Cricetulus griseus: one gene and its partners. The protein of the gene in region 1 interacts with the protein of each later gene in a biochemical or structural test. Links are inferred from orthologs where the notes say so. Each region holds a gene or a part of one and is shown on either strand. Other genes may lie near its edges. The genes, in order: Map3k11, Map2k7 and Mapk8ip1.

Region 1 (9,615 bases):
CCTGGTCTCCAGAGTGAGTGCCAGGACAGGCTCCAAAGCAACACGGAGAAACCCTGTCTCGAAAAACCAATAAATAAATAAATAAATAAATAAATAAATAAATAAATAAATAATTTAGGGGGCTGGAGAGATGGCTCAGAGGTTAAGAGCTCTGGCTGCTTTTCCAGAGGTCCTGAGTTCAATTCCCAGCAACCACATGGTGGCTCACAGCCATCCATAATGAGATCTTGTGCCCTCTTCTGGTGTGCAGATATACATGGAAGCAGAATGTTGTATACATAATAAATAAATAAAATCTAAAAAAAGTCTAAGAATTTTAATTTAAGAATGCTTGATACAGCTGGGCGCACGCCTTTAATCCCAGCACTCGGGAGGCAGAGGCAGGTGGATCTCTGAGTTCGAGACCAGCCTGGTCTACAAGAGCAACTTCCAGGACAGCCTCCAAAGCCAAGAGAAACCCTGTCTCGAAAACCAAAACCAAACCAAAACAAAAAAAAATGCTTGATACACAGATTATAATTTAATGTAATAACCTCTCTATAGAATGGTTACAGTACTTGGTCCAATTAATCAGTAAGAGTCTGTCACCATTAGGGAGATTTGTATTATTTCACAGCTGAACCTAGAGCTCTACCAGTGGCCCCAGAGCCTAAGGATCTGGTTTGGGTCCCTAGCAGCTATCTGAGATCCTTGGAGTTCCTAACAATTCCTCCCTTTTCAGAGGGTCTTTATCTTGCCCTCTGTCTAAAGGTCACTCACCTCGTGTCTCTTCCCGCCGAGGGCTCTTGGCTGACGGCTGGCCAGAGGGAACACCTAGGTCCAGCAATAAGGGTGTCGGGTTGGGTGGGCCACGGGCATCGGGTGTTGTGGGTGAAAGGCGAATGAGCGGGGTGGAGGGCAGCTCGGCTGGGCTGGGTGAGGGCATCTGTGCAGGGGGTGGTGCTGGTGGGAGCTCCCCACGTTCACGGCTCAGGCCTCCTGGAGGCTGCAGGTCACGTCCGAGACCCAGGGAAGCTAACAGAGCGGTGCCCCGCAGCAGTGCACGTTGGATCAGTTTGGGAGTCCCCGAGCTGTTGCCGCGTTCTGTGGGCCCAGAACGCCGTGGCTCCTCTGGCTCTGGGCTAGGCCGTGGAGGGTTACCTGTGAGCAGCAGTGGCTCAGGTTAGATTGAGGCTAGTACGTCTGCGAGGTGAGAATCCTGGGGACCCCTCAGTGGCCTTGGAACAAGAACTGAGTTCTGCTTCCCACTGCCATCTTCCTGTGCTCTATCTGCAGAGCGGCTCTTGCTGGTCTGCAGAACCTCCCCATCACACACATTTTGTCAAAGGGAAGGGGTCTGGGGGCAGGGGCAACAACCTGGAACAAAGTCTGGAAGCAGCTTTTGTAGAAGATAGCTATCCTCCAAGCACACCAGCCCACTTCCTCAGAGGAGCTGTAACTTTTTGCAAGCGACCCCCTCCAGTCAGGCTTGTTTATGGTCCTCCACAGGAGGGGTCTGGGAGGGCCACTGGACCTTCACCTCACCTTCTCAGGTGCTCTCTCCTGTACCTCCTAGCCAGCTGTCCTGAGAGTCCTTCACATTGCATTGTCATCGAAGCCCTGCCTGCTCTAACCCCTTGTCCTTCCCTCTTTGTGACAGGCACCCAGCTGACTAGTCTGGAGGTCTGGGTGACTAGAGAAAGAAATACAAGGCTAGGGAATGTCAGCTGCTGCTGTGAACAGGATTTAGCTGGGGGTTCTGTAGGCCCAGGAAGTCCTCTTTTTGAAAAAATATTTTATTTGTATGAGTATTTTGGCTGCATGTATGTCTGTGTACTACTGTGCATGCCTGGTGCTTGCAGAGACCAGTAAAGGGCAATGGATTTCCCTGGAACAAAATAGTAATAAAAATGTAAAAAAGAATCTAAAACAAGCAGGAGAAAAATGAAAAGAGGGAAGTGAGAGTGGAGACTGGAACCCAATAGGGTGACTAGAAGTTCCTGAAGTCAGTTCTGAGAAATAGAGGTCCCAGAGTTAAGTGGCTTGTCCAAGGCAACTTGCCTAGGATTTACATTTGCTTCTAAGCTCCTGCTATTTAGGAGAAGACAGCATTAGACACTTGCCCCGGAGTTGAAGGCGAACTTGCTTCCAAGGGGCTTTGGGCTAGTGAGTGTGGCTCCTGGCAATACCCTTTAGGCATTTTTCTGTCAGTGTAGGTTGACTGCAGGCTGCCAAAGAGGAACTCACTGCAACCAGGTTCCCAAGGGCCAGAACCTCCATCTAGGGATCCCTGGTAGTGGCCTACTCACAAGATGCTGAGTGTGGGCCCTCTGTGAGCTAGCTTCCCAGCTGTGGGTGTTTGGAAGGTCAAGTTTATGTACTCTTCTCATAGACCCAGAGGGCAACAAGAGTACAGGCTTGGGTCAGGGAACCACATGCTTAGGCTGGGGTGGTGGTGTCCTCTCATAAAGAGTGACCAGCAGGAGAGGTGTGGGATCTAAGTCTTGTGTCCCTTCCTCTGGGAACTATGGCTAGAGAGCTTGGCAGGACATCACCAAGGATTGATCTGACCTACACCCAGGTTCAGAGGCCCTCAAATTCTCCTTTGGTCCTTCTGGCCTGGTGCATTCTAGAACAAACAAATTCAATCCCCCAGGTCTTCCAGTTTTCAGTTCAACCCTCATATAACAGCCAACTGTGGGCTGTAACTGCTGGAGCAAAATATGTGAGGGCTGGAGAGATGGCTCAGTGATTAAAAGTGCTGATTGCTGCTCTTCCAGAGGACCTAGGTTCAGTTCCCAGCACCCACATGGGGGCTTACAGCCATCTATAACTTCAGTTACAGGGGATCTGATGCCCTTCCCTCTTGTGCTGTTTGCAAGCAATGCATGTACACAGTGTACAAACATACTTCCAGACAAAACATCCAAACATATAAAATAATAAAGTAATAATTAAAACCAGGTGTGGTGGCACAAAGCTCTAATCCCAGCACTTGGGAGGCAGAAGTAGATGGATCTCTGTGAGTTCGAGGCCAGTCTGGTCTACAAAGATAGTTCCAGGACAGTCAAGGCTATTATTACACAGAGAAACTCTGCCTCAAAAAAACCAGAAAAACAAACAAACAAACAAACAAACAAAACAAATAAGTAAATCTTAGTAGAGGGAAGCCGAAGAGCTTGCTTCCAAGGTCAGATGAACCTGGGTTCAAATTCTTGCTCTGCCAGTGCCCTACAGCAAACCATTTAACTTCTCTGTGCCTCAGTTTCCTCCTCTGTAAAAGGGAGCCACTGACCATATCTGCTTAGCAGATAGGAAAAATCCAATAGCTGTTATTATTACAGAAACATGTGGAAGGAGGTGATGGCTACGTCTGTGGGTGCTGAATGGGATGGCCACACAGCTATTGGGCAGTTTGGTGAATAGGGCTCAGTCTCAGAGCCACTGAAATAGGGTCTAAGGTCTACATTCTGCTGTGTGAAGCAGATAGGGCTGGGATTCCTGCGTATGGTCCTAGGTTAGAAGGGGGTCCCATAGACACATCACAACTTTCTTGGCTCTGTGGAGTCTGGACAGTGTTGACCTGAGCTGAGCCGTCTTCCCTCTGGTGCTGGAGCCCCATTTAGCTTCCTAAGTAGTTTGTATAGAAGGAAAACTTCCCAGGAAACCAGCTGAGAATATGGAAGCCACCCACAGCTTCTCTTGGTTAGAGTCCTTAGCTGGGGATCTGAGGTAGCTTACTCCCTCCCCACTTGGAGACTCAACTTTCTTGCATCTAAAATGGGGAGAATAATGGCTCCTTACTCACGGGGTTAGACATGTCTCCCTCACAGTGAGGCCATTTTCATTACGAAGAACAGAAGCCTTGAACTTCCCCAGATGCAAACAAGGCCCCAGATCTTTTCTTGCCTTGTCTTACTATCTTCTTCTCCACCCATGGACTCCCAGAAGGAACTCAAAAGAGCACTGTGGAAGCCATTAGAATGGCTCTACCTTTTCTGGGTACCAAATGGAAGAAACCATTCCCTGCTTCTTGTCTTTGATGGAGCCTGTTGAGGTGCTGCACAGGAGGGCTAGTCTCTAGAAGTCTCTAGAAGCCCCAAGGCCTCAGGTAAGTCTACTTTTAAGGGTCTGGAGGCCAGAACTGGTGACCCAGGCTCTAGGTCTGGTTCTGTCCTGCCTCACCTTTAGTTTCCTAGTCTTGAGTGAGAGCTCTCAAGGCAGAAATCCATCACTTCCTGCTGGCTTCTCACAGTCTATCCAAGTGTCCACAGAAAGAATTAGGCAAGATCGGATAGGGGAGACAAAGTTACTCACCGTTAAGTGTCGGGGGAGTGGAAGGAGATCCTAGTGGGGATGAGTCATCAGAATCCAGGTACCACGTGGCTTCATCCATGCGGGACCTTCTTCTGGAAAGGGAGGGGCAGGGAAGACATGCTTTGTGAGCCTTAGAACACTAAAGAAGAGTATAACAGCAGGGTTGGGGGACACTCAGACACTTACCTCCCATTCTGGGCCTCCCCAGGCTTGGGGGAACTGGGACCCCAGGCCCAGCAAGCACGCTTCTCTCCATTGCTTGAATCTTCTAAACGTCTAGGGGACTGGCGACCCCAAGTCTGGCCTGACTCTGCAGGTTCCACTGTAAGACAACACCATGAGATCTGAGTCCATCCTTGTCTTCCTGCACCATAACAGCCAGGATGGGGGTAGTGGTTTGGGATTTGGTGAGCTAGGTGGGACTGGGCCCTGAGTCAGCAGTGAGGTGGAAGCATGTACTGAGTCCTTCAGCTGACCTTTGCTACTCAGCAGTTAGCAAGTCACCTTCAACTACTTGAGTTTGAATATTTGCTCTGGCACTTATTGGCCATGTGGCAAAGTACTCATTTCAATTTTCTCGTCTATACTTAGTAATCCACTAGAATTACTGAGTTAATATTTGCAAAACATTCAGGAAAATAAAGACTATAAGAACTCCTGGGTGGCGCACACCTTTAATCACAGCACTCCAGAAGCAGAGGCAGGTGGATCTCTGTTGAGTTCAAAGCCAGCCTGGTCTACAGAGTGAGTGCCAGGATAGGCTCCAAAGCTACACAGAGAAACCCTGTCTCGAAAAACAAACAAAAAGGAACCAAGTGTGGTGGTATAGGTCTTTAATCTTGGTACTCAGGTGGATCAAAGTTAAGAATGTCTCAAAAACAAAACAAAAAAAAATCATGATATTATGTAATTATTTGATTGGGGAACAAAGTAAAGTGGGTTTTTTTTGGGGAGGGGGACGGGGAACTTAAAGGTAAAACTCTAGATGAAGAGGCGGGAAGCCTGGAAGCAGGGGAACAGGATATAGGGAGGAAGGTGGATCCACCTCCAGATGGGGAGTTTTAGGGGCTATGGGGAAGGCCAAGTTTCTTACACTGGATTGCTCGGAAGCGAGGGAAAGTGGGCGAGTCCCCAGCCCCAACCTCAAAGACGTTTCTCCTCCGGTCAAGGCCAGGAGAGGCCTGCACAGTGATTCGGTGTTTGAAATCTGGGATTTTGAAAGGAGAGAGCAGGTGTAGGTTTGTGAAGGGGAAGCACTCAAAACCTCAGGGACCCTTGGGAGGCTCCCAGGCCTCTCTGGTAGTGGCAACAATGGCTGTGTGCTTGGCGCTGCTTCGTTGAATTCCTGCCTCGAGGCCTTCAGCAAAGCGAGCCAAGTAGTTGACCCCCTTCACCAGGACTAACTGGTAGATAAGTAGGTTTACGGTGCAGGGAGGCCAGCCCCACCCTCTAGTCCTCAGAACTTTCAGGAGCACCACTGGCAGCCACTAGCAGCCGGACATGCAAATATTCCCATCGCGACCCGCCCACAGGAAAAACACAAAAAACAACCAACTAAAAATAAACCCCTCCCTATTCCAGCCTTCCAGCTGGTCAGGGCACCGATACCTCAAACCAATCCCAAAGCGGCCAGCAGACAAGTTTGACCACACCCCCAGACACCCACAGCCAATAGCAAAGAAGAAGCCCGGAGCCCCGCCTCTTACCCAGGGGCATGCTGATGCGTTCTCCGCCGTCGCGCGCCCTGAGCTTGCTCCGCTTAAAGGTGCCGCGGCGGCGACGCACGTGCGGCCGTTCTCGGTCCACCTGCTGCAGTAGCAGCGTCAGCTCGCGCTCAAACACCTCCAGCTCCCACTGGGCCAGGAGGTGCTCGCGCCGTCGTAGCTGCTCTGCCTGGGACCGCTGCTCGCGTGCCGCGCGAGTCAGCTCCTCCTCGCGGCTCAGTAGTTCCTGTGCTCCGGAAAGTGAAGGAGGTGGGGTTAGCTAAGCATTGATCCAGACAGACCTCCCACCTCATTCTTTGCCCCATCTTGTATCCCTGGGGTCTTCTCACCTTTTCCTTGGCCCGTAGTTCGTCAAAGAGGCCTTGGATCTCGCGTTTCCAGCCTTCCTGCATGGAATGGAAGGAGTCCCGTGGCATCTCTCGTAGGACCTGCGCCTCTAGCGCCTCCAACTGCTGCAGGATGGAGGCGAAGTCGGGCCTGCGGTGAGGGTCCTGTGCCCAGCAGTCTAATGGGGCAGGATAAGAGAGTCTGTGGATGTATGTGTCTGGGGCTAGGGAATTTTCCCCCTCTCCTGCCCAGCTCGTCCTCTTACCGGCCATGAGTTGTGCAAAGGGCTCAGGGCAGGTAGATGGGATGGGTAATGTTAGCTTGTTGACAGCCACACCATAGGCTACTGCGAGACAGTCTATACCACGGTAGGGCACCTCCCCAGTCAACAGTTCCCACAGCAGCACTCCAAAGCTGTGGGGAAGACAAGGGATTTGTGTGTTTTCTTCACTTCAAAGCAAGGAGTAATTAATTAGGTAATTTGGGGTCTTTCTGGCTTCAGCCCATCTGGCCAGTCTTAAGCACCCCTTCTCACCTTCTGTAGCCCCAGATTGTCCAGTCCCAACCCAGGCTGTACCTCCACACATCGCTGCCCTTTGAGAAGGTGGAGGCCTTGATAACCTCAGGAGCCATCCAGGCATAGGTTCCCGCAGCACTCATTTGTGTGGTTTTGTGCCACTCTCTGGCGAGGCCAAAGTCAGTGATCTTTAGGGTCTTTTGCTCCATGTCATCACCTTCAATCGGCTGCAGCAGCAGAACTGGGGAAGAAGAGGGTGTTGAAAAGAGAGGTAATGGGGCTAGGGGAAGAGCATGGTGCATACACACCCAATAGACATCACGACCAGGACCAAGCACACAGAGGATCCGCCTTGAGAAGCTCACAGCTGGTAGTGAGACTTAAGCGATAACTGTGGCACACATTAACTGGCAAGGGATTTCTAAGTTGCTGCTTCTCCTTCTCTGAGTGCTAGAGGCCAAATTTTTACACTTAGTTGTAACTACATAAACAAGCCACACTAAACCAAATGGAACAAACAGGTAGGAATTATTCCCATTTTACAGGTAGGGAAATGTCTTGATCAAGGTCATAGCAACCAGAGATTCCATTCAGCCTGTGGCTCCAAAGCTAATGTAGCGTTTTCCTGACACTGAATGGAATAAAAACTAACGTGGTAGGTTCTCAGGACTGGTGCTCCGCTTTCAAGAAAAACCTGAGCCAGGCACTCAGGAGGTAGAGGCAGGCGGATCGCTTGAGTTTGAGGCCAGCCTGGTCTACAGAATGAGTTCCAGGACAGCCAAGGCTGTTATACAGAGAAATCCTGTCTCAAAAAACAAAAAAACAGAGAGGGAGAGAGAAACCTGTTGAGTGTCTTGCTACTTTGCTGAGGCAAGGTGTGAACTGGAACCTAGGCTGGGGACTAGGACGGACGGACACCCTCAGTGAGCAAGAAGGCCTGCAGGTCCTGGAGCCTACAGTGACTACCACAGCCTCCCACAGCAGGAGACTCCGTAAGATATCTGCAGAGGGTGTGAGGAGAAAGGGAGGAAAGGGAGGAAAGAATTCTTGGTCAGAATTCACAGGGCTGTCTGACTTTGATGGAAGTGCGGCAACCATTCTCAGAACAAGGAGGAGAGGCAGCAACTTAGAAATCTCTTCCCCGGATAAAAACAGCTCAAGCAGCAGTGGTGACACTCGCCTTTAATCCCAGCACTCTAGACGCAGAGAGGCAGGTGCATCTCTCTGAGTTTGAGGCCAGCCTGGTCTACAGAGCGAGTTCCAGCCAGGGCTACACAGAGAAAGTCTGTCTCAAAAAACAAAAGGGGAGAAAGGAGAACCACCACCAAAAAAAAAAAAAAAAAACCAAAACAACAACAACAACAACAAAAAAGCTCAAGTGAGAAGTTTTAGAGCAATAGGAGGACAAAAGTCATGAATCATCAACGGTCTGAACAGTCCATTTGTAGTAAGAAGTGCCATCTATTTTGAACATGTGTCAGATCTCCTGCACAGGACGTTAGGCTTGCAGTGGGGGCATGATAAGTATCAAGAGTGAGGGAGAGGGGAGGGGCACCTATGTGGCCAGGTGAGTCAGGGAGGGCTTCTCGGAGGAGGTGTTGGACCAGGTTTTCATCTCTGAAAGCCTGAATCCAGAACCCATTTCCACTGCTGCCTAAGCCCTCCCCAAACCCTCCATTTCTCAGGCCTCTTCTGTGTGACTGTTTCCTTGCAGCCTCTCCCATTGTTAGCTGCTTCGATTCTGGTGCTTTTCAGAGCTCAGACTCTCCTCACCACCTCTGGGCTGCTCTATCTCTTCCGGGCACCAGCCCCCGCTCCTGGATAGCATCTTTTAAACTTGGGCCTCTAGGTGAGACAGCAATGACATGCTCTACCTAGTATGGCTGTTTTGCCCTCATGCCTGGCAGACTTTCTTTCAAATTCTCCTAATTCAGAGGATGGTCTTGAACTCCATCTGTTCCTCTTCCGGACTGGGATTGAGTCTGGCATAAAGCATAGGATGACAACAAACCTATCTCACAGGGTTGTCAAAGAGTCTTAGCCCAGGGCTGGAGAGATGGCTCAGTGGTTAAGAGCACTGGCTGCTCTTCCAGAGGTCCTGAGTTCAATTCCCAGCAACCACATGGTGGCTCACAACCATCTATAATGAGATCTGGTGCCCTCTTCTGGGGTGCAGGCATACATGCAGGTAGAACATAGTATACATAATAGTCTTTAAAAAAAAGAAAAAAAGAAAAAAAGAAAAAAAAAAGTCTTAGCCCAGTACAGACATTTAAAAACCTCTAGCCTGGGGCCTGACAGCTGTCATTTGCTTTGAGATGCTGTGCTGACTTCTGTCAGAGTCCATTCCTTCCTCTCCACCCTTAATCCTAACTCCCAAGCTTCCAGCCCCATGTCAGGCTGCTGAAGGCAGCATGGACCCATCGTTGGGCCTGTGCAAGCTCATCTCAGGAGAAACTGTGACAGGCTGGGGTGGGATGCAGAGAGCACAAGCTCTCTCTGGAGCCAGGACCCACCCCTCCACTGAGGACCTCTCACTACCTTTAGCCTGGTCTTTAGCCACCTGTGGGTGCCCACTGACAGGCAAAGCACTTTCTGTACCACTTTCTCAGGTAAGGAAGCCAGTCTCCCTCTTTTTATACCTGTGGCTGCTCTGCTACCTCCCCACTCTCCTCTCTGGCATTTGCCAAGCATCTCACTTCTGCATCCCCAGCTTTGCCTCCAGATTGTTTTGCACCCTGCTTGGGTCCT
Region 2 (10,366 bases), on another chromosome or scaffold:
TGCATAACCTCCATGGCAAAGCCCTAGGGTTACCACGCCAGACACTCACAGGGCCAGTTGTCCCCTTGGGCCAGGTCCAAACCCAGAAAGTGATTCCTAAGGCTTTAGCTTTAAGTCCTATCTATAGCCTCTAGCCATGAGCCTACCTGCAACTGTGCCCACCTCATCCCCTTTCCCCAGCAGCATGAGGACACCTGACATTTCAGAACATCCCAAATAGAGGGATAGGAGAAAGGACAGGCAGAGTGGGGGTGCTCACCAGTCTTTCACGAATGACTGGAAGTCCCCTGAGAAGCCCATGTGACCAGGCAGGAGTGGGGGCTCTTCCTGTAGGACTTTGGTGAGGACCTCAAAGTCCGTCTTGCAGTTCTTGTAGGGAAACTGTCCCGTTGCTAGCTCCACCTGGGAGGTGACAGGCATTGCTGGAGCAGCAGGTAAGAGATCCCTGCCGTCCCACCAATCCCCCATACAAGAGCCCCAACACACCAATGATATGCCCAGGCTCCACACATCGGCTCGGATGTCATAGTCAGGCTTGGTGGGATCTGGAGGGTCAATGCGTTCAGGCTGCAAGGAGAGAGAAGGAGAACATACCCTGAAAGTAGGGCCAGTCCACCCAGCCCCCTTGTCAGATCCAGCAGGCCCCACTCACAGCCATGTAGGCGGCACAGCCAGCACTCCGCGTTTTGGCCTTAGAGTCAACAAGGCGGCCACTGATGCCAAAGTCACAGAGCTTGATCTGGCCCCGCTCATCTAACAGGATGTTGGAGGGTTTGACATCACGATGGATGACACCATGCTTCTCCTTCAGATAGTACAGCGCTTTCACAATCTGTAGGACAGACAGGTTCAGGGACCTGTCATGGGAGGACAGAACCTAGAGGCACCCACCTAGTCACATGAGCCCAGACTTAGCCACTCACTGCCACAGTCATCTTGCCCAAGATCCGCTCTGGAATGGGGCCCTGCATTCGCTTCTTCAGCTTCTCTGCACACGTGCCCATGAGCTCCATGGCAATGAAGACATCTGTCTGTAGAAGGAGGGTGGCACACAGGGCTTGGGGCGGCCATGCTTTCCTCCCCACCCTAGCCACACTCTGGTACCTGGGGATATGTAGAACCCTAGGGGACAGAAGGATGCCCTGAGACTTCTGGGCATATAGGACCCTATTGGGGCAGAAGGCTTGGCCCCTCAGGCATGGTGCTCACATTGGTGATGAAGGTGCCAAAGCACTGAACAATGTAGGGGCAGTCATGGCTCTTGAGTACCACGTCCAGGTCCATCAGGATGCGCTTATTCTCCTCCTTGTTCCCCGAGCGCCGCATTTGCTGCAAGGAGGGACAGCCAGGAGGGGAGCTTCAAGTGCTGGGCAGGCTGCAAGGGCACAGGATACATCCTGGAACTGGGGTGTGGAAGGCTCACCTTGACAGCAATGATGTGGCCTGTCTTCCGGAAGCGCATCTTCCACACCTGACCACAGGTACCGCTGCCCATCTCGCCCAGGTTCTCCAAGTCATTGATTTCTGCCTGATAACGCTGAGTGGAGAGCAAGGCAGCTGGAGGGTCCCCAGAGGGTCCTCTGCTCCTATCACCCACCACCTCTAGCCTGCCTGGGTCCTGTCACAGCCCCCAGGGTGCCTATGGGGAAGTAGTACCTGGCCCCCGATGGTCAGGTACCCTGTCTGCTTCATGATTTCCTGCAGCTTCTGGTCAATCTCGATGCTGAAGGAAAAAACACGAGCTGATCAGAAGGGTCCCACAGATACCACCCACCTCTCTGGGACCAGCACAAGGAGGGCCCTGTGCTGTCCCTGCTCCACCAGCTTACCTCTCCATACTGCGGGGTGTGAACAAGGTTGATGGGAGCCCCAGCATGTTGCGGGGCCGGGTGGGGGGCGTAGGGTGCTGTGGGGAGCTCTCTGAGGATGGTGAGCGGCTGCCCCCATCGTTGGCCAGTGGCAGCTGCAGGGCTGGCGGGTTAAAAACCAGGGGCATGAAAGGAGTTAGCATCTAGCTAGTCAAAAAGGGGTGGGGGCCCCCATCTTTTCCTCTCTCATGTCCCTTTGGCCAGGCTGGCACAGCCCCCTGCTCTGCTGGCTGGGGCCTCCTTCCCCACCCCCTGGGGCATCTTTAGGGTACCATCTCTGCCCCTCTGATCTAAAAAGAGATGGGATGGGCTGGTGGGAGAGGGGTGGTCTCAGAGGCTGGGGATTTGTCCTCAAGTACATACTGCAGAGAAATGGAGGGACTCTCTGCCAGGAACCCCTGCCCCAGTGCCAGGAAGCAGGCCCGGGGCAACAGTGCTCACATAGGAACCACATGAGGACAGAATGCCCACCAGGACCTGCTTGGAACCTGGTCTGGCCACCAACACTGCACTGTGTACAAACAAGAGCCAATAGCTATGGGACTCTGGCTTCAGGCTGTCTTGCCCAGATTCCACTCCTAGGTCAGGGAGGGCCATCCTCTGGCCAGCTGGCTCATCTGTGCATCTCCCAGCCAGGCCTGCAGAACTGGTGTCAAGGGAGCAGAACCCAGGCTAAGCCTGAGTTCTTGGGAAGAGGAATTGATAGGGATCTAGATGGCAAAGCTCTTCCAGGGGCTAGCTGGGCTGGGCAGGGGGAAGATGCTGGGCCAGGGAGGGGAGCTTGGTACGTCCCAATGGCCTGCATGCGGACGGCTTGGGCATGCTACAGGCAGGCGGCGGGCAGGCAGCAGGCACCCCAGGACTGGCGGGCGGTGTTAGGATGTGGGGGGGACAGAGAAACACAGAAAAAGAGCCAAGACTTGGGACCCAGCTGCCCAGAGGAGGTGCTGCATAGACAGCCAGAGAGGATATGAGACATTAAGAGTAGGTTGCTTGAAGATCTAGGAGTCTCTCTCGCTTAGGGGCAGGGGCTGTGAGTCCCCTGTGGCTTCTGGAAGTATCTCCCCTCCATCAACCTTTCATATTTCAGAGTTTCCAGTGCCCTGGAAGGATTATAGCTAGCTCAGTTTAGGACATCAGCAGACAGCATCCTTCAAACATGACTTCCCAGGTTGTCTGGAGCCTGCCACTTTGTTTTTTAATTTGTTGTTTTTTTCTTTTTTCTTGGGTTTTTCAAGACAGGGTTTCTCTGTGTAGCAGCTATGGCTGTCCTGGAACTCGCTCTGTAGACCTTGCTGGTTCTCGACCTCACAGAGATCTGGCTGTCTCTGCCTCTTGAGTGTTGTGTTAAAAGGCATGCCACTTTCTAACACACCTCTCCACACCCTTAACTTTACTACCTTCTTTCCCCACAGCCAACCTCATGGCTTTTGGTGACTTGGGCCCAGTGATTGCAGAGACAAATGGGCTTTAACTGCTGACATTCAGGTCCTTTTCTAGCCCTCGAGGCTGGGACCCCAGCTGCACCCAGACTCTCTAGGAAGTGTCCACAGTTCACCTCCATGGATACCTGTGATCCTTCTTTACCTGGCACCTCAGCTCTCTGGGGTCCATACCTCTACCATCTCCACACCCTACCAGTCCCCTTACCCTCACAGACCACCAAGCCCTCTTGGGCTGCCTCAGACCCATGGAAATGGCTGCTGGCCCCACTCTCTGAAGCATGGATTTGATGGGGGCTAGAGTGGAAAAGGGGAGAGAAATATACACAGGCCCAGAGAACAGAGGTTAGAGGGGTTTTTGAGCCACACGCAGGCCTGGAGAGTACAGTAAGAATAAGACCACGAGGGAGGAAGAAGTGAGGATGAATGAGTGGGAGACGGTACAACAGATCATAGGGACACATGCTTACTATTCAGACTACCAACCTAACGTGCACACACTCACGTGCACACACACATGTAAACCAAAAACATGGAACACACACACAATGGGGACAGGGCCAGCCCTCCATCCTTCTACACACACACATCCATATATACACACAAGCTGGGAACACACTACCACCAACAGTCTGCTCTCCTCATCTCTGCCAACACAGGTGTTCTTTCTCTTATACACAGGAGACATTGCATACCTAGGAACCAGCATAGCGGAACTGCCCAGCATGGGGTCCTTATATGTGTGTGTTGGGGGCGGGTCTTGCCTCACCCAACCTCCTGGGACACTTTTGTTCAAATCCTGTATCCTCCATGGGCTTTCCCTGAGCAACCCTGTGCAGAGTTCCTCATCCTACTAGACTACTCTACAGGATCAGGAATTTGCTCGGTGTCTAATGATGGACCCCTTATTGCAGCATCAGCCCCACAGGACAGGAACTTGGTCTGTTTTACTTACTGCTATGTTCCTGGCCCTGAGAGCAGATACAGTACACAAGTGATGACACTCATTCACTCCACAACTGACACAACTGAATAGGAACAGTGCACCTGCCTCTACCCACCCTATTCACACACAAGCACCCTTGTGTGCCCACCTATTAGGGGAGCCCATTTCATCCTCCGGGGGTTCGAAGCTGAGCCAAAGAAGAAATGGGAAGGCTGGAGGGCACAGAGAAAGTACAGCCAGACTCACACTGCTGTAGTGAAGGGAGAGGAAGTGACAATGAAGAGACAGAACACACACACACAGCATGAGGTGGGGATGGACAGCATTCTGCAGCAGGGGCAGCGGTTAGGTCAATGTGCAGATATGCAAGCAGCAATGATAAAAAGGCTGGTACCTGCTCGCTGGGACGGGGCAGGAGCAGGGCTTAGAGTGATCACAATAACTGGATGGGGAAAGGAAGAAAGAAAAAAAAAAAAACCACGATAAATCACAACAGAAATAACTGATTTGTTCAACAGAAAAGAAATCAAATCATAATGAAGAGGAGGGGGAGGCGCAAGGCACTGAACTGCAGAGATGGGTAGAAACCGACAGAGATGGGAGGGTGGGAGGAAGGCATGGAGTTGACAGACACAGACACCTGCAGGGGGCTCCTTGGGGCCTGCCAGCCACCAGCCTTACCAGGTCTCACTCTGTTCTAGGGACAGACACCTGTTAGGGTGCCTAGAACCCCATACCCAACCCTGTCTCATCCACTCTGGGGCTGGGGAAGATGGCTATGCAGAGACCAGCAGGGGGCTTCCAAAGCTTGGCCCTGCTTCTTGTCCCAGGCAGAATCCAGGGGAAAGCATCCCGAACTCTGGGTATCCCCAGGCCCTGTAAGAAACTCTCCAGGGAGGAAAACTGACAGACTCAGGCCAGAAGAGGGAAGGATGGAGGGAACCCTGGAGAGGGATTAGGGAAAAGATCAGGCTGTGAAAGTTACCAAGAGACCAGGGAGTGGACAGATTTCTCAGCTATGGGAGGCTGCCTTTCCCCTCTTACCAGGTGACCTACAGACAATTCTAATAATGTACTCCAAAAATTATATAACACAGGAGTATAAAGAAGACATTGTTTGGGATCAAGAGGGATACAAAGAGGGTTGGCAAGGCATGGATCACAGGGTTGGTGAGGAGGGAGAAAAATCAAATTCCCTTCACAGAGAAGACTTGGGGACAGGGGTATCTGGGATACAACAAGGACGCTAACTGTGGTCATGATGATGACAAGCCGGGTGTGCATATAGGAAGAAGGGGGAACAGCTGTTGGTACAGGACCATATGTCAGGGAGGCAGGCCCAGAGAAGGAAGAGGCAGAAGGGAGGTGTGTGTCTGTAGGGTGGGACTAGATACATTCACACTGACCACAGGTGTCTGCAGGACTAGCAGTCACTAGGGCCCAGGAGACAAAAGCTGCCAGGCTGAGGAATGGCTATGTGTTTCCAGAGGGCCATACAGCAACCCTGAGGCTAGCTGGTCACAGAGGTCTGAGGTGCCCCTGTATGAAGGAGGCAGTCAGCTGGGCCCAATGACAAGGCCCCTTCCAGGTTTAGGAAAAGGAGCCATCAGATATGACCACAGAAGTCAAACGGAAACTCCTCTATTCAAAAACTAATTAGATGTAAATGAGGGCTAAGTGACCTGGGTGGGCAGATGGGTATGCATGTGCCTGGACTGTCTGCTAGGGGAGGGGAACCTCTTGACAATCACAGAAGCAGCAGGAGTGGAACCACCGGGTCAAAAGAGATATAACTATTTGTAGGGTTGAAAGACTTGGCTGTGATCTCGGAAGCTTCGGGTCTGAAAGCCTGCTGGGTGCAGGTGACGAGGCACTGGGGGCCGACCACCGGGTGAGGGGACCCAGCGGCTAAACTCCCATGTCCTAGTGATGTGAACCCCAGGGTCTCGGTGTGTGTGGGGAGGAAGTCGCCCTGGAGACTGCCCACCCGACTCCCAGGTCACCGTGACCCTCTCTCTGCAAGCTGACAGCGGTAGGGAATAGAGGGGAGGAGAGCTAGCGCCCCGGAAGCGGGGGCGGGATCTGCCTGGTGGGCGGGGCCTGCCACAGCGCGCCCGCCCCCCCGCCCCCTCCCCACGCCGCCGTGCTTACTGGGCCTGGGCCGCTGGGGGCTGATATCCAGGTTGAGGTCGATCCTCCTCCGGGCCTCGCGGTTCTCCTGCTTCAGCTTGGCTTCCAGGCGGGACAGCTTTTGCTCCAGGGAGGACGCCGCCATCTTCCCCGCCGCCGCTCGCCGCCAGGCCGCCCGTCAGCCCGGGGTAGACAAACACCGCACTGCGCCTGCGCTCCAATGACCCCGCCGAGCCTCCGTCCTGCCCAGCCCAGCCCAGCCCAGCCCAGCCCAGCCCAGCGCGTGCCCGCCCTGCCTCGCGCGGTTAGCGCCGCGCGTGCGCGCTGTGTCCCAGTAGGGAGCGGACGCCACCTAGAGGTCCAGGCTGGCAGTGTGCGTTGTCCTCACCCACAGTTGCCTCCCGCAGTGCGCATGCGCGAACTCCCAGCTTTTCTGGCAGAGGCGCAGTTCGAAAAAGCACGGTTTTTCTTTTCTTTTCTTCCTTTTTTTATGTAGCGGAAGGCGGGCAGGACGGCAGCATACATGCAGAAGGGGAGACCTGCCACGCGCGCGGCCTCTACTGCGCACGCTCACGGCCGTTCCCGGATCCGTGTTCACACAGTACCTCCGTTAACTTCCTGCGGGCTTTTCCCAGCCCTGGCCCTCCCTGGCATCCGCGTACATAGAGCAACCTTCCTCGTCTTGCTCAGCCCTTCATTAGGCCCTGTTATGCTTAATTGCGACCTGACCTCCCACTGTCAACGTGAAGTCGTCTCCTCACCGTAAAAACTAGGCACCCGTGGGAATCCCTTTCCATTCCAGCCGGTACAGAGTAGAGCAAGGCCTGACTGGAGGAGAGGGAATCCAGAGCTGGCGATTCCTGAGCTCCGTTAAGGCCAGACTTCCTGGCCGTGCCTACTTGAGACCTTGAGACGCCCCATCCCCATCTCTTCGCCCTCAGAAGCTGGGCTCAGCTGGGGTTAGATGCCTCTGCCGAGTGTGCTCCTTGCCCGGCTTAAAGAGTTAAGTAAAAGGTGCTAGGGTATCGTCTCTATCTGTAAATCTGGGTGGCTAAGGAGCAGTTTGCCTCTAGGTTTTTAGGGCAAGGAGGAGGCTTGCAATGTACAGGGACATTCAGCAAGTGACCATACCCAGGAGGTTAGGCTGTGCCACCACTCTGAAAGTAACAGTGAACACTTTGGGATGGGCCTTTAAAAAAGGCTTACTCTCTGGCAATGACCTACAAGTGGAGCAGAAACATGCTTGGAGTTAAAAGGATAAAAGGAGGAGGGAGGAGAGGAAATTGGATTCTTTGTTTTGTTTTGGCTATTCGAAACAGAGTTTCTCTGTGTAACCCTGGCCTTCCCGGAACTCGCTCTGTAGACTAGGCTGGCCTCGAACTCAGGTTTGCCTGTCTGAGTGTGGGGATTAGAGGTATGCATCACCATCAACTGACTTTGTGTGTGTAGGGGGGCAGTTATTTAGAAAAAAAAATAGGCAGAAAACTCTATCTAATTTATCTTGATTAGATGAGGTCTCTACATCACCCTCTATTTAAGTACCTGGGATGTCTTTCCTCCCAGGAAAGCCAGCCTGATTTGACAGGTAGGTGTTATTGTTTGGACCTGGCTATAGAAAGCTTAGATAGCCATACTATACAAAGAGGTCAGAATTACAGTTCTCATTTATTAAGCACCCACTGGGATATTCTCCACTGCACAGGAAACATTCAAAAGAAAGTCCCTGCAGGTATTAAGAAAAAAGGTAGCCTCCACCAGCTATCACCCTTAACTTGGAGTCAGCCAGTCTTGACACAAACTGGAATCATCAGAGTAGAAGGAGCCTCAATTGAGACAATGCCTATATAATATCCAGCTGCAAGCCATTTTTCTTTTTAAAGATTTATTATGTATACAACATTCTGCTTTCACGTATGCCTGCACACCAGAAAAGGGCGCCAGATCTCATTATAGATGGTTGTGAACCACCATGTGGTTGCCGGGAATTGAACTCAGGACCTCTGGAAGAGCAGCCTCTTAAGGTTAAGATGGCTTAACCTCTGAGCCATCTCCTCTAGCCCATAAGACATTTTCTTAGTATTTGATGGGGGAGGGCCCAGCCCACTGTGGGTGGTTCCCTCCCTTGGCTGGTGGTCCTGGGTTCTATAAGAAAACAGACTGAGCAAGCCATGTGGAACAAGCCAGTAAGCAGCAATCCTCCATGGCCTCTGCATCAGCTCCTGCCTCCAGGTTCCTGCCCTGTTTAAGTTCCTGCCCTGACTTCCTTCAATGGTAAAGAGTATTGTGGAAATATAAGCTAAATGAACCCTTTCCTCCCCAATTTGCTTTTTGGTCATGGTGTCTCTTCACAGCAATGGAAACCCTAACTAAGACAGTAGTCTAGTGGGGGGGTCTGTGACTGCCTAACTTTGTTTACAGAATTTTTCATGAATATTAAATAAGCATTTTCCCGAGGAAATGCAGTGCTTAGCTTCATGGATTCTCTAAGGCTCTAGAAAAGGAGCTCTGTGTGTGGACATTCCAGTCTCCATTCTTAGTTGTTTTGGAGACAAGTTCTGCTATGTCTTCCAAGCTGGCTTCAACCTTTCAATCCTCCCCACTCCACCTCCAGAGCATTATATAGGCATGTTCCACCACTCCTGGTTTATGAAATGCTTGGGATGGAACCCAGAGCTTCCTACATGCTAAGCAAGCTCTCTCTCAACTTGAGTTACAGTCCCAGCCCAGTCTTTATGTCAACAATTCCATTATCTCAGGACCACCCGAATCAGAATTACCTGGCATACTTATTTAGTAGCAGGTTCCTGGCCCCCACCCAAAAGTTCTGAGTCAGTATTTCAGGGTAGGGTGTGGGATGTTTTATTTTCTTCCTGGCTTCTCAGCTGATTTTATTACATGGTTAAAAGTGAGAATCATTGTTCTAAGTACCCATCTCTGTGGCAAAGGATTTATAAAATAAGGATGTGACATTAAAGTCGGAACTGGTCTCTGTGTCCTCTCCCTAGGAGAGAACCCTAGATGTATGCTGATTTGTCATTGGAGAGGGTTGGAAATCCCATTGGGATATATCCCCCACTCTTGTATGGGACACTAATTTAGCTGGAATGTTCAGAGGAAGGACAAGCCAGCCAGCCAAAGACACAGGTGTGGTTTTGGTCCAAGAATCTAAGACTGAGTTAATCCTTCCCTGTGGGGTTACACCCCAAATCCACCACCTCCTGTTTCTCCCCAGACAAACCAGTCCCAGGATCTTGTCTGAACTGCACAAAACCAACATGTCTGGCCTTCCTTCCTCTCCCACTGGGCCTATTGCACATCTCCGGTGGAAGACAATGCTGGGGCAAAAGCATCTGAAGGCCTCTGTGTCACCCTGCCCCTTCCCTGCCCCTAGGCTTCATTCCTCCTCCATCTTCTCCCGCACCTCTGCAGGCAATCCCTCATACAGGGTGTCCTCCACCAGCAGCCCTGACTTCCTCAGCCCCTTGCAATCACCAAGTTCTTCTGGCAGAGCCTCCAGCCGGTTACCCTTAAGCTCCAGACGACTGAGGGTCCGGAGGGCAGCCACATGGGGTGAAAGCTGAGTTAGGTGGTTGTATCCCAAGAGCAATGTCCGCAGCTTCTGGCAGAAGAACAATTCGTCGGGCAGGCTCTCTAGTGCATTGTAGGAGAGAGCTAGATGCTGGAGGCTCTGGAGAAGGCCCAACTCAGGTGGCAGGGATCGAAGCCCATTGTGGGACACATCCAGCAGGCGGAGGCCAAAGCACTGGCCAAGCTGCGGGGGAAGAGTCTCGAGCTTGTTGTGACTGAGGTAGAGCTGCTCCAGGCCTCGGAGCTTCCTCACGTGCTCAGGGACATAGGCTATCTGGTTGTGCCACAGCCTGAGAGTGACAAGCTTCCGACAGTGCTGAAAGCTGAGGATTTCCTCAATAGACCTAAGGTGGTTGTCCTTGAGGTCCAGTTCCTGCAGAGCCCCTAGACTA
Region 3 (10,146 bases), on another chromosome or scaffold:
CGGTATTATTCCCACGAGCTCGCTTTGTCTCCTAGCCAGGCCATAGTGTCCTAGAACCAGCCCACTCTTCAGCCTTTTTGTATACTCTTGCCCTCACTCTCCATAGCCCAGATCTGGTCATACATTCCCTGGCTGATGTCCTTCATCTCAGCTTCTCAGTTAGGCCTGTATACTAAATGTTGACTTCCTGCCAGAATGGGGGTGTGAGCAGGCTCAGACCAGCAGTCTCAGACTTTTCTGTGGTCCCTAGGCTAGCCCCTCTGTCCTCCTTATTTTCCAGCACCTCAGCTCTACAAAAGGCAGACCAAGGTACACCTCAGGGTGGTTGTAAAAGTACAGTGAACTACACCGGAGAAACACTTTGACAGAAAAAAGTTGTGCCGATTCCTGCCAGTGTGGACAGCTACTTGTTGAACAGTGACTTGATTTGGACTATCTCCTTTCCAGGCTGGAATCAATATTAATTAGCCCACTCAACAGATGAGACCAAAGAGGACAAAAGCATGCTTGGATCAGGCAGTGAGGAAACAGTAGAGCTAAGATTTGAACCTATGACCCTCACAGTTAATTCTCTTCCCCTGCCAAGTTCTGACCAGCTAGGGAGAATCTGAATTCTTAGCCTGGAGGCTGAAGCCTTGGAGCCTTCCTTTGCGTTTGGAACCTTCCTCTGGCCCCCTTCTTCTGGTTCTCTCTGCTGGGCTCAGGGCCTCCTTGGAGGATTCAGGGACTGATCATATCATTTGAGATCCCTGGGGGTCTCTGCCCACCTGAGGACCTGGGAGCCAGAAACCCCTTCAACAGACGATGAGTTGGCGCCAGAGCCCAGCTGGGGCCTGGCTGGGGCAAGGGCCCCAGGAGATAGAAAGGCGCCTGCTCTTGAGATGGAGAAACAATGAGATATGGCTCAGCTTCTTTCTCCTGGATTCTGGAGCAGTGACACCCTTCTCTTCTTCCTCATCAACACATATTCTTTCTCTCTCTCTCTCTCTCTCTCTCTCTCTCTCTCTCTCTCTCTCTCTCTCTCTGTGTGTGTGTGTGTGTGTGTGTGTGTGTGTGTAAGAGAGGACATCACTGGACCAACGCATCACCCCTTATGACTCTGAAATTCACCTGACCTAATACCAGATTTGGGGGGTGGATAGAAGGGGAGCTCAGGTCAGGGTCCTGAGTATATATCACAGTAGGGACCCCCAACGGTATCCCTGGATATTCATAGGCAGATTCCCCTCCCACAGGCAGGTTGGGTTCCACTGATTAAGGCCAGTCCTTCTGCCTATACAACTGACCAGGTGGGAGCTGCCTAAATCTAGAAGACCTTGCCTACGACAGCCTAGCAAGCCGGCCAGGCAAGCTGGGGGAGGGGCTCACGAATCCCTCCTTAAAGCATCAAGGTTGTTAGCTCAGAAAACGGCCCGCGGGTCCCCAACCCCTTGCCTGCTCCCACCTTGGGCCGGAAACCTTGGGACGTAGTAGGGTAAAGTCTGCATAGGTTGCTGCACCGGGAATTCTAGCCAAACCCCAGACCCATTCTCAGTATCAAGGTGGAGGGGGAAGGCGACCTCCCAGGTCTCTGCCCCAGATCCACCTCGAGCACCCCACCCCAGGACGTGGAATGGTGGAGGGAGATACGGGAAGTACGCAGTGGCCACCAACCTAGACCAACCTGGGTTGCAGGGCCTGGGGGCTCGGCCAGGAAGTGAAGCCACCCTAGGGGTCCCCGGGGATCTCAAGGCCAAGCCGAAGGGCGGGGCGCGCGCGGCGGCTATCCTCACCTGAAATTGGGAGGCGACGCGATGTGCAGTCCCAGGAATGGGGAGGCGGCCGGCGGGGACGCAGCGCCCCCGCCCAGGCCGCTCTCTCGCTCCGCCATTCCCGGGCGCAGCCCTGGCCATCCGGGCGGAGCGCGGCGCGGGAGGCAGCGGCGGCGGCGGCGGCGGCGACGGAGGAGGAGGCGCGGCGAGGAGGCCGCGCCGCCGCGGGGCTCGGACTCGGCTGGGGCGGGCGCGGCTCCGGACCGCGCGCCGCTTTGCCTGCGGCCCCTGCGATAGCACCCTGCGCGCGCCCCCGGGCAGGCTGGGGTCTCGTGGCCCGCCCCCGCCCCGCCCCCCAGCGCTCTCCGAGGTGCTGACGCTTTGGTCCGGTGGCCCTGGGTGCACCCACCCTCCCCCAACATCCCACAGGACTCTACAGGCACCCGAAAAGCATTGCGCCCCAGAGAACGGGACCTAGATCCAGGGCATCAGGTAGCTAATGGCAGGGTACTGATCCCCAAGTCGGTCTTTGGTCCTCCACAGCAACGGGACTGGGAAGGAGGTTTCAGAAGAGGCAGAGAAAGGAAAGGGTGGTAGAGTCCAAGAGTAGCCAGCTTTGGATCCAGGTGGCTTAAGACCACAGCTTGGTTCCACAAGTAAACAGGCAGTGGGGGCTTGTATTGGTGACCTGACAGCTCTAAGGGTTGTCTTTCCCATTTTGTGAAATGGGGTATGATCCCTCCATGACTGCAGAAGAAGAAACAAAATAGAAATGCTTGCAGGGAATACCCACCTGTGCACTGGGATCTAGCCTTCACCCCTCCCAGAACTCTCCCTAAAGGGGCACCTCTGTCAAGGGCTCAGGTTGTCCTGGAAGTTACTATGTAACCCAGGCTGATTTTGAATGGTGACAATCTTTTTGAGTCTCTTGCTAAGCCTGGGGATTTGTGTCAACCCCCATGCCCAGTTTCCCAGCACTTGTCTTCCCTCTCTCACCCATGCACTCCTGAACTGGCTTCTCCCATCTGAAGGCCCAGACCTTCCTCTTGCCCCCAGAGCTGCTTTTTGGGGGCTGTTGGTTCTGTTCCCCACATCCACTCTGAGTTTAGCTGTTTTTATTTTTTTTTCTGGTCCTGTAGTAGGTTTTCTCACACAACATGGACTGTCAAGGCCAGGGCCCTAGCTTTGGTGAGTCAGAGTGCTTCCCACACACCTTCACTACTCCTCTGGCCAGACTATGCCCTTCACAGAGATGGAACAGGGCAGACAAATGCTCTACATACAGCCTGTAGAGTTCTGCTTGCAAATCTTAATTGACAACTGGGAATGTTGCCTCCTTTTCCTTCCTAGCAAGAAGCTGCAGGCACATGTCTTGCAATATTCAATCTCCATGTTTCAGCCCTGAGGACATTCTAGAACCCAGAGCTAGAGGCCTTGGCTGCCTCTCCCCTCCCTGCCATTGATGCTTCAAGAGGTGGTTTGGTCACTTTAACTTTCAGTCTTTTGGCTCAGGCTTCTCACACTAGGCCGTACCCTAACCATCTGCTGTTATGGTGCCTTCCTTCTTCCCAGGAAAGCAGACTTGTCTGGTTATCATGGCTAATATGTGCTTGTTGCAGATAGGTGGCATCCCCAGGATGGCAGAAGCGTGAGTATGTAAGACAGTTCCCTCTTCTAGAACCTTCTGCCAAAGAACAAAGGTATCTCAGCTTCACTAGCCAAGCCAGAACTACATGAAAAGCCCAGAGAGCAAGGCCAGCCCTGGTCTTGGTAGGAAGCAGGCCAGCAGAAACTTGGAGGCAGAGCCAGGAGTGAGATGAGTCCTGGAGTAAATGTCCTCTCCTGTCTCTAGAGCAGACTGTGATTTTCTTTGGCTTTGCCTGAGCCCTTCTCCCACCAGGAACACCCATGTGCATGGCACTCTGGCCAGATGGCCCAAGACAGAGCCAGTGTCTAGGCTTCGGGGCTTGGGTATGGCTTCCTTAACTGTGTCCACGGGGCACACATTCATTTTTAGAATACCATAAAGAATGGATGCAGGGCCCTGGATTTCAGTAGGCTGCCTGGTGCCACTGTGAGGTGACATTCAGGAACTGTCTCCTGCCCTGTATTGTTTCAGCTAACTCTGATTCTAACCAAGCTCTAGGGCTGCTGCCAGCCTGCTATAGTGGCTTCCACAGCCTCCTCTATCCAAGGGGGAATGAGACTCTTGACTCCAAGAGAACAGACATGGCCTATCTTGAAGCTTTCCCCAGGTTCAACCTCAGCAGCCCCAGGTCCCCAACCTCCCACAAGATTGACTACACAACACAGCTTTACTCAGACAGGGGCAGACATTTATAAAACAGGGAAATATTCACAAACAAACTGTGGGAGAAACACAACCTTCCCAGCAATAGGGAACTCTATAAAGTGCTTCTTGCCTGCGACCATCTCTTACCCATGCTAGGTCCCAGCAGCAGGACATGGGGCACTGCTCTGAGACAACCCTCAAAGCCACTCAGGCTAGGCAAAAGGAGGCATGAAGCCACTCCAGGGCTCCCGGCCATTCCATCCCATAGATCTGGGGGTGGGTGGACTGTTTCATTCCTTGGAAAGCTGTCCTGAAAATGGGCCAGCATGTCAAGGAGGTGGAGGGGCAGGTGATCTTGCCAACTTGTACCTTGGGAAGAGAGCCATCATCAAAAAGAAGGGCACTGTCCCCATAGCTGAAGGTGCTATGAAATAAATACTGGATGCAGGACCTGGCCTTTGATCCTCTCAGACCAGGCTCACTCTACCTTCCCTCCAGCAAGATCTCTTGGCTCTTTCCTCTTGGCCTGGGGCTGGGGAGCAGGGAGGCCAAACCCCAGGGCTCTGAACACACATCACCTGTGTCATTTCTCCACATGATCATAAGATGTTTCTAGTCAGAATGATGGACATAAACAGTTGGACTAAAGGCAGCTCTTTGCTGAGAAAACCTGAGGCCATCTCAAAAAGAAGCCTGTCAGATGTGCTGGACAGCTGGAGGAGAGGGGAGCCTGGCCCCAGGGTTCTGGTCTGATACAGTGTAGGCCAGGACCAAGGGCATTAACAACTCTGAGGCTAGGAAAGGTCACAGGGGAGGTAGAGAGGAAAAGGCCCAGAGGCCAGCTTAATGTTACATGTGAGAACAAAAATCCACACAGGGAACACACACACACACACACACACACACACACACACACACACACACACTCTCTCCCCACACGAATACACTGTGGCTCAAGTGCAGGCCACGGGGATGGAAGGAAGACTTGCTCAGTTACCCACAATCCTTCTCATAACTTTTTTCTCCACATGACCCAACAGTGGGAGGGAGAGGTGGCTCCCCTGGGAAGCAAGGCTTGGCTTCTCTGGGCCAAACCTTCCACTGCCTCTCTGGGAAGGGGGTGGTGTGCCAGCTGTGATCTCTATTTGACCTTTCATCAACTGCCCCAGGCAGTGCCCCACCCCTTAGTCCTGAAGAGCTGACATGGCAGTGTGGTTGCTGATCACTCCAGGGTGGGCCCTGGGAGCCTGCAGGACACAGACTGGCCAGATTGCCTGGCTGGGTGTCAGCAATACTTGCTGGAGCATGTGCCTGGGAGTGTGGCCAGAGGAGCCAGGGGCCCTCAAGCCACACAGGACCTGGTTTCCTCCACCAGCTCTGACCCTGGCCTATCAACAGCTCCTAGGAGGCCAAGGCTGGGCCCTAGCTGCTAGGGAAGAGACAGGAGACTGGGAGTCTAGTCCTCACTTGGCTTCTAGAAGGTCCTACAAAGACAGATATGCTGTCTGAGGCTGACATAGGCAGGACTTGAGCATACAACACTCCAGTCTGCAGTCTTAGACATCCAAGGGAAGAGCCTGCCAATGGCATGGGATTTTAAAAGGTTGGACAGGACAGTTATGTTTAAATGGGAAGCCTTTACTCCAGCCTGCTCAGGTTCTAGTGTCAGAACATGGGAACTAAACCAGCAGGACTCTGGCTACCTCTGGAACCCCACACTTTAGTCGAGAGTAAAAAAATGTGGCCTTCCAGCTGTCTGAAAAGATGAGGGATGAAGAGGAGTCTGGGGAGGCAGAGACCAGAATTCCAGCTAGGATCCTACCACCATGTTCTACTGGGACAAGGAAGGGGGCTCCCAGAAACATATTTGGGCTGAAGGTCATTGCTGTGGCTTCTGGTCCTGTGTCTGGAGGTGAGGAAGCAGCCCCAGTGACAGGGATGATCGAGAGACTCCTCCAGCCCAGTTGACATTCAGGATCATGAGAGTGTAAACAGATGCATGCACACGCAAATGGCACACCACGCCTTCCTCTGCACACACACGTTCGTTCCTTCTGTCTGTTGGTGACTGGCTTCTCTGTAGGCTGTGGCAGCTCAGGCACCCGGGCTGTGTCATGGAGCGATGGCTCTCCAGCTGAAAGAGAAAAACATGTACATAGAGGGTACTCAGGAGGCTGCTTAGTTGCCCAGGCACCAGCTCCTCTGGCTGCATCCCTGGGGATTCCCAGACTGGGAGTGGGACAACCTAGTGAACATGCTGCTTGGGCCACAGTCCCCAGGGCCAGGTTGTTGCTGGGCAACCATGGGGGTGGCTGGATACTGCATCTCTGAACCCAGGACAACTGTTCCCTGCATGCCCTCTTACCCAGGGATGAGGGCAGTATAGAACAGGGCTACATGGGCATCACTTGATACCTTGAAGGGTACTTGCTCACACATGCAGAGCACAGCTACTGCATCAGAGATGGAGAGCTGGGAAAAGTAGCTGCATGAGAAATTGCCTGGTTCTAGTGGTTCTGAAGAATAAGGCAATGAATGGGTTTAGAACCAGCAGGGCAAACTTCCACACACCAATCACAGGATCCTGGCACATGGCTACAGTGGTTGGGGGTGGGGGAAAAGAAAGGGAATGGGGACACATGATGACTCATTTTAAAGATTTAGAACATTCTGGATCTGGGGCAGAGAGAGAAATGGCCTCACCAGATACCAGAGGACAAGGTTAGCCCATCATACTTACTGGGATGCCTGTAATAATAGGCTGATGGAGTGGCTGCAGCGCAGGTACACTCTTGTGTTCACAATTGATGTCCCTGTTTATGTGGCTCAGGTCCTGACTCCCAGCACCTATGACTCTCTTTAGGTAAAACTGAGATGACTAGGGTGATCGAAAATAGAAAAGGAACTTTGACCCAGACAAAACAGAGGGAAAAACCTCGGCAAGCACCAGAGACTATGACCTTGAACCAGACTCCAGAACCAAGGATTTGTTTCTGTGGTGCTTTACTATGGCAGCTCTCACGGACAATCACAGACCAAGACAACCTGTTTGCCTCCATTTTCATAAATGAGGAACTGAACTGACACGAGTGTCCATACAAATAGCCAATATAGGAATTCCCAGGTCTTCAGGATTCAAAAACTCTGTGGGTTTAAAAAACAAAAAACAACCCCCCCCCCCGAAAACTCCTAATTTTATGTGTATGACTATTTTGCCTGTATCTATGTCTATGTACCACATGAGTACCTGGTGCCCCCAGAAGCCAGCCAGGAACCTCTGGAGCTGGAGTCACAGACAGTTTTGAGCTGCCATGTGGTGCTGAGAATTGAACCTTGGGATCTCTCTAAGAGCAGCCGGTGCTTTTCTGAGCATCTCTCCTCCAGGCCCTGTCGTTTTGTTTTTAACCAGTTAGTGAACTTTATATTATTCCTCACCAAGACTTTTACAAGATATTAAAAAGAATAAATTCAACATAGTGGCATAGAGATCAACACCTACACAAACTAAAATGGAAGGTATTAGAAAAGAGAAAACACATGTAAAAGTCAGATGAATTTAGAGACATGGATCCAATGTTAGCCTTCTAGCACATTCCATCCCATTTCGGGTATTTTATCTATGCAGTTGAGGCAGCCTTGGACTCCTGGATCTTTCTGCTTCTACCTCTCAGATGCTAGGACTACAGGTGTTCAGAGCTCAGGCAATCCTTTTAAGGCCATAGTTCCAACTGAAGCCACCTGCACTTGGAGAGTGATACTCTGTCTAGACTGTAGAAGCTGGGCAGAAGGCAGAGCAGAAGTGGATACACATGTGGGCAGTTCCCAGGATCTTGTCCTTTAAACCAAGTATAACTGCACCATCCACCTTCCTCTTGGAGAACATGCTGCAGTAGGCAGCCGGACTCTTCCATTAGGCAGCCTGTGTTTACAGAGGCACTTCGAGTAGTTTCCGAGCAGAGCTTGTCTGCTGCTGTGAAAGCTGAGAAGAGCTTCCTTCTGAAACAAAAACTCCAGTGCCACCTCCATTTTGTTTCCTCTGTCCTCGACTCTTGGAGTTCATGGAATTATGGGCATATCTTTAAATTTTAAACTCATTTTTTTTCTTGGTTTTCCTAGACAGAGTTTCTCTGTGGCTTTGGAGGCTGTCCTGGAACTAGCTCTTGTAGACCAGGCTGGTCTTGAATTTACAGAGATCCTCCTGCCTCTGCCACCACCTCCCAATTTTAAATTCATTTTAAGTGAAACAAAATGGCATATTATGTGATTTTTAAAAATTATTTTGCCCCTTCTCTCTTCTCTTCCTAGACAGGATTTCATATCATCCAGGCTGGCATTGAATTTGCTATGTAACTAAGGACCTTGGACTGCTGACACTCCTTCCTTAGTCTTCTGAATGCTAGGCTTGCAGGCATACATCACTAAGCCTAGCTTATCATGTGCCTACACAGGTACATATTATGTATTCAATTTAAACCTAGCTCCACCAACATTTATCATTTATGGAAAGCACTCAGCCTCCTTTCTAATGACCCCCTCCATGTCAGGAGATAAGAATTGGAGCTGAGATACATCTGAACATTCTGCAGGCAGGAGCACAGGCCTGGGATGCAGAGCCAGGCTCTCTGGGAAGGCTGGGCTGCTTCCATCTCCACACTGGATACACTGTCAGTGATACATCTGTCACAGACCAGTTGCACAAGTGTCAGAGTAACAATGGGGATTCTGGAAGTCACATTCTAGGTAGAGAAACCTCAGTGCTAACAAGGCACAGGCCAGTGAGGGAAGGGGCTCTTTGGCCATGGCCCTCTGTGCATGGAGGGGTTTCTCACTAGACTGCTGTGCAGAGCTGGAAAGGGAAAGAAACACACACGCTGTCCCACGGTAAAATCACTGGATGAATGAGAGAAGCCGGTGCATAACTGGAGGCTGATGCAACCTTGTCTGTGTCAGCAGCTCTGGGGGTTACGGGAACCAGCTGACAGGACTGCTATTTGGAAGCTCACTGTTTTCTTTTTTCAGTTTAGTGAACATTGTAAAAACTAAATGGAGAACATTCAGTTGGCGTGGGTTTGAGGCATGGAACCCACTGATCCCAGAGATGTTTTTTTGCATACTGATTTAACTCATAATGACTGCTCATGAGACAGCAAGCACCAGAGACAGCAGGGTTACAATGCCAATAGAGCAGAGCTAAGAGACTAAAAGCAGGGAATGATTACTCAGGCATTGGCCTGCAGCCCATGTCATGTGACTAAAATGGACAGGGGATGGGCCGGAAGGGGCACTTCTTCCCATCCACACAATTCTGACTGGGTCCACAGCCCCACCAGTCAGGTGATCAAAGTCACTCGGAAGCACATGCAAGGTAGCACCACGCCCTCCTCTGCCTGGTGTGCTTCGCTCACAGTTAGACTTTTCACACAAAGGTTTTGATTTTCTCCCTGACATACTGATACGTGTGTCCCAGCGGTAGGGCAGGTGACAAGAGTTACAAAGCATTTCACAGCTGTAAGGGTTAATCTTGGTTGTCAACTTGATTGGATTTGGGATCAACCAAGAGCCCTGCCTCCAACCAGGTCTGTGAGGACATTCCCTAGGAGGACTACTGAAGGATAGGGGGCAGCACCTTCAAGCAGCAGTCCAGACATAGAGGTCTGCTTCTGTCTGCCTGACTGCACTCCCTGCTGCTAGGTGCATCTATCCTGCTGCTGCCCTTCTTCACTGGCACTGGGACCCTTCTTTGACCTTCCAATTCATATTGAAGACCAGTGGCTCTCCAGGAATTTGTCTGGCTTCAGAACCAGCCTTGCAAACTGCAGTTCCTGGGTTCTTAGCCTCTTCAGTGTGCAGATGGCCACTGTTGGACTGCCTAGCCCACTGTGTAAGAAAGACAATCTAGTACTTCCTTTTAAATATGAACATTGTGTAGGTTCTGTTCCTCTAGAGCACATACTACAAAAGATGAGGGTCTTGAGGCCCAGATGCCCTAGCCTATACATAGGAGGCACTTTTGGGGTTTCCAAAACCATGATGTTCCCACTGTCTGTCTTGGAAAGATGTCTGCTCCTATCACATCCTCTGACTTCCTGGCTCCTTTCCATC

Evidence for each region.
Region 2: of the proteins of Map3k11 (region 1) and Map2k7, one has a biochemical effect on the other in vitro, tested with the Homo sapiens proteins (2 studies listed by BioGRID). The link is inferred for Cricetulus griseus from reciprocal best matches to the Homo sapiens genes MAP3K11 and MAP2K7.
Region 3: the proteins of Map3k11 (region 1) and Mapk8ip1 form a complex in vitro, tested with the Homo sapiens proteins (2 studies listed by BioGRID). The link is inferred for Cricetulus griseus from reciprocal best matches to the Homo sapiens genes MAP3K11 and MAPK8IP1.

The regions. Positions count from the first base shown.
Region 1 is NC_048596.1:53,642,436-53,652,050, forward strand, and holds part of Map3k11 (mitogen-activated protein kinase kinase kinase 11), read right to left. Parts: intron 7,106-9,615; coding exon 6,925-7,105; intron 6,762-6,924; coding exon 6,613-6,761; intron 6,526-6,612; coding exon 6,350-6,525; intron 6,247-6,349; coding exon 6,003-6,246; intron 5,504-6,002; coding exon 5,390-5,503; intron 4,619-5,389; coding exon 4,483-4,618; intron 4,389-4,482; coding exon 4,297-4,388; intron 1,141-4,296; coding exon 760-1,140; intron 1-759. UniProt on the Homo sapiens protein: Activates the JUN N-terminal pathway. Required for serum-stimulated cell proliferation and for mitogen and cytokine activation of MAPK14 (p38), MAPK3 (ERK) and MAPK8 (JNK1) through phosphorylation and activation of MAP2K4/MKK4 and MAP2K7/MKK7.
Region 2 is NC_048597.1:89,046,411-89,056,776, reverse strand, and holds the start of Map2k7 (dual specificity mitogen-activated protein kinase kinase 7), read right to left. Parts: upstream 6,609-10,366; 5' UTR 6,532-6,608; coding exon 6,408-6,531; intron 4,699-6,407; coding exon 4,651-4,698; intron 1,972-4,650; coding exon 1,830-1,971; intron 1,724-1,829; coding exon 1,657-1,723; intron 1,538-1,656; coding exon 1,424-1,537; intron 1,330-1,423; coding exon 1,210-1,329; intron 1,032-1,209; coding exon 924-1,031; intron 833-923; coding exon 653-832; intron 568-652; coding exon 487-567; intron 403-486; coding exon 260-402; intron 1-259. Other genes in the region: volume-regulated anion channel subunit LRRC8E, read right to left, coding at 9,781-10,366. UniProt on the Homo sapiens protein: Dual specificity protein kinase which acts as an essential component of the MAP kinase signal transduction pathway. Essential component of the stress-activated protein kinase/c-Jun N-terminal kinase (SAP/JNK) signaling pathway.
Region 3 is NC_048599.1:84,331,274-84,341,419, reverse strand, and holds the start of Mapk8ip1 (C-Jun-amino-terminal kinase-interacting protein 1), read right to left. Parts: upstream 6,638-10,146; coding exon 6,616-6,637; intron 6,179-6,615; coding exon 6,088-6,178; exon of another isoform or gene 5,662-6,087; intron 2,226-5,661; coding exon 1,773-2,225; intron 1,654-1,772; coding exon 1,445-1,653; intron 1-1,444. UniProt on the Homo sapiens protein: The JNK-interacting protein (JIP) group of scaffold proteins selectively mediates JNK signaling by aggregating specific components of the MAPK cascade to form a functional JNK signaling module. Required for JNK activation in response to excitotoxic stress.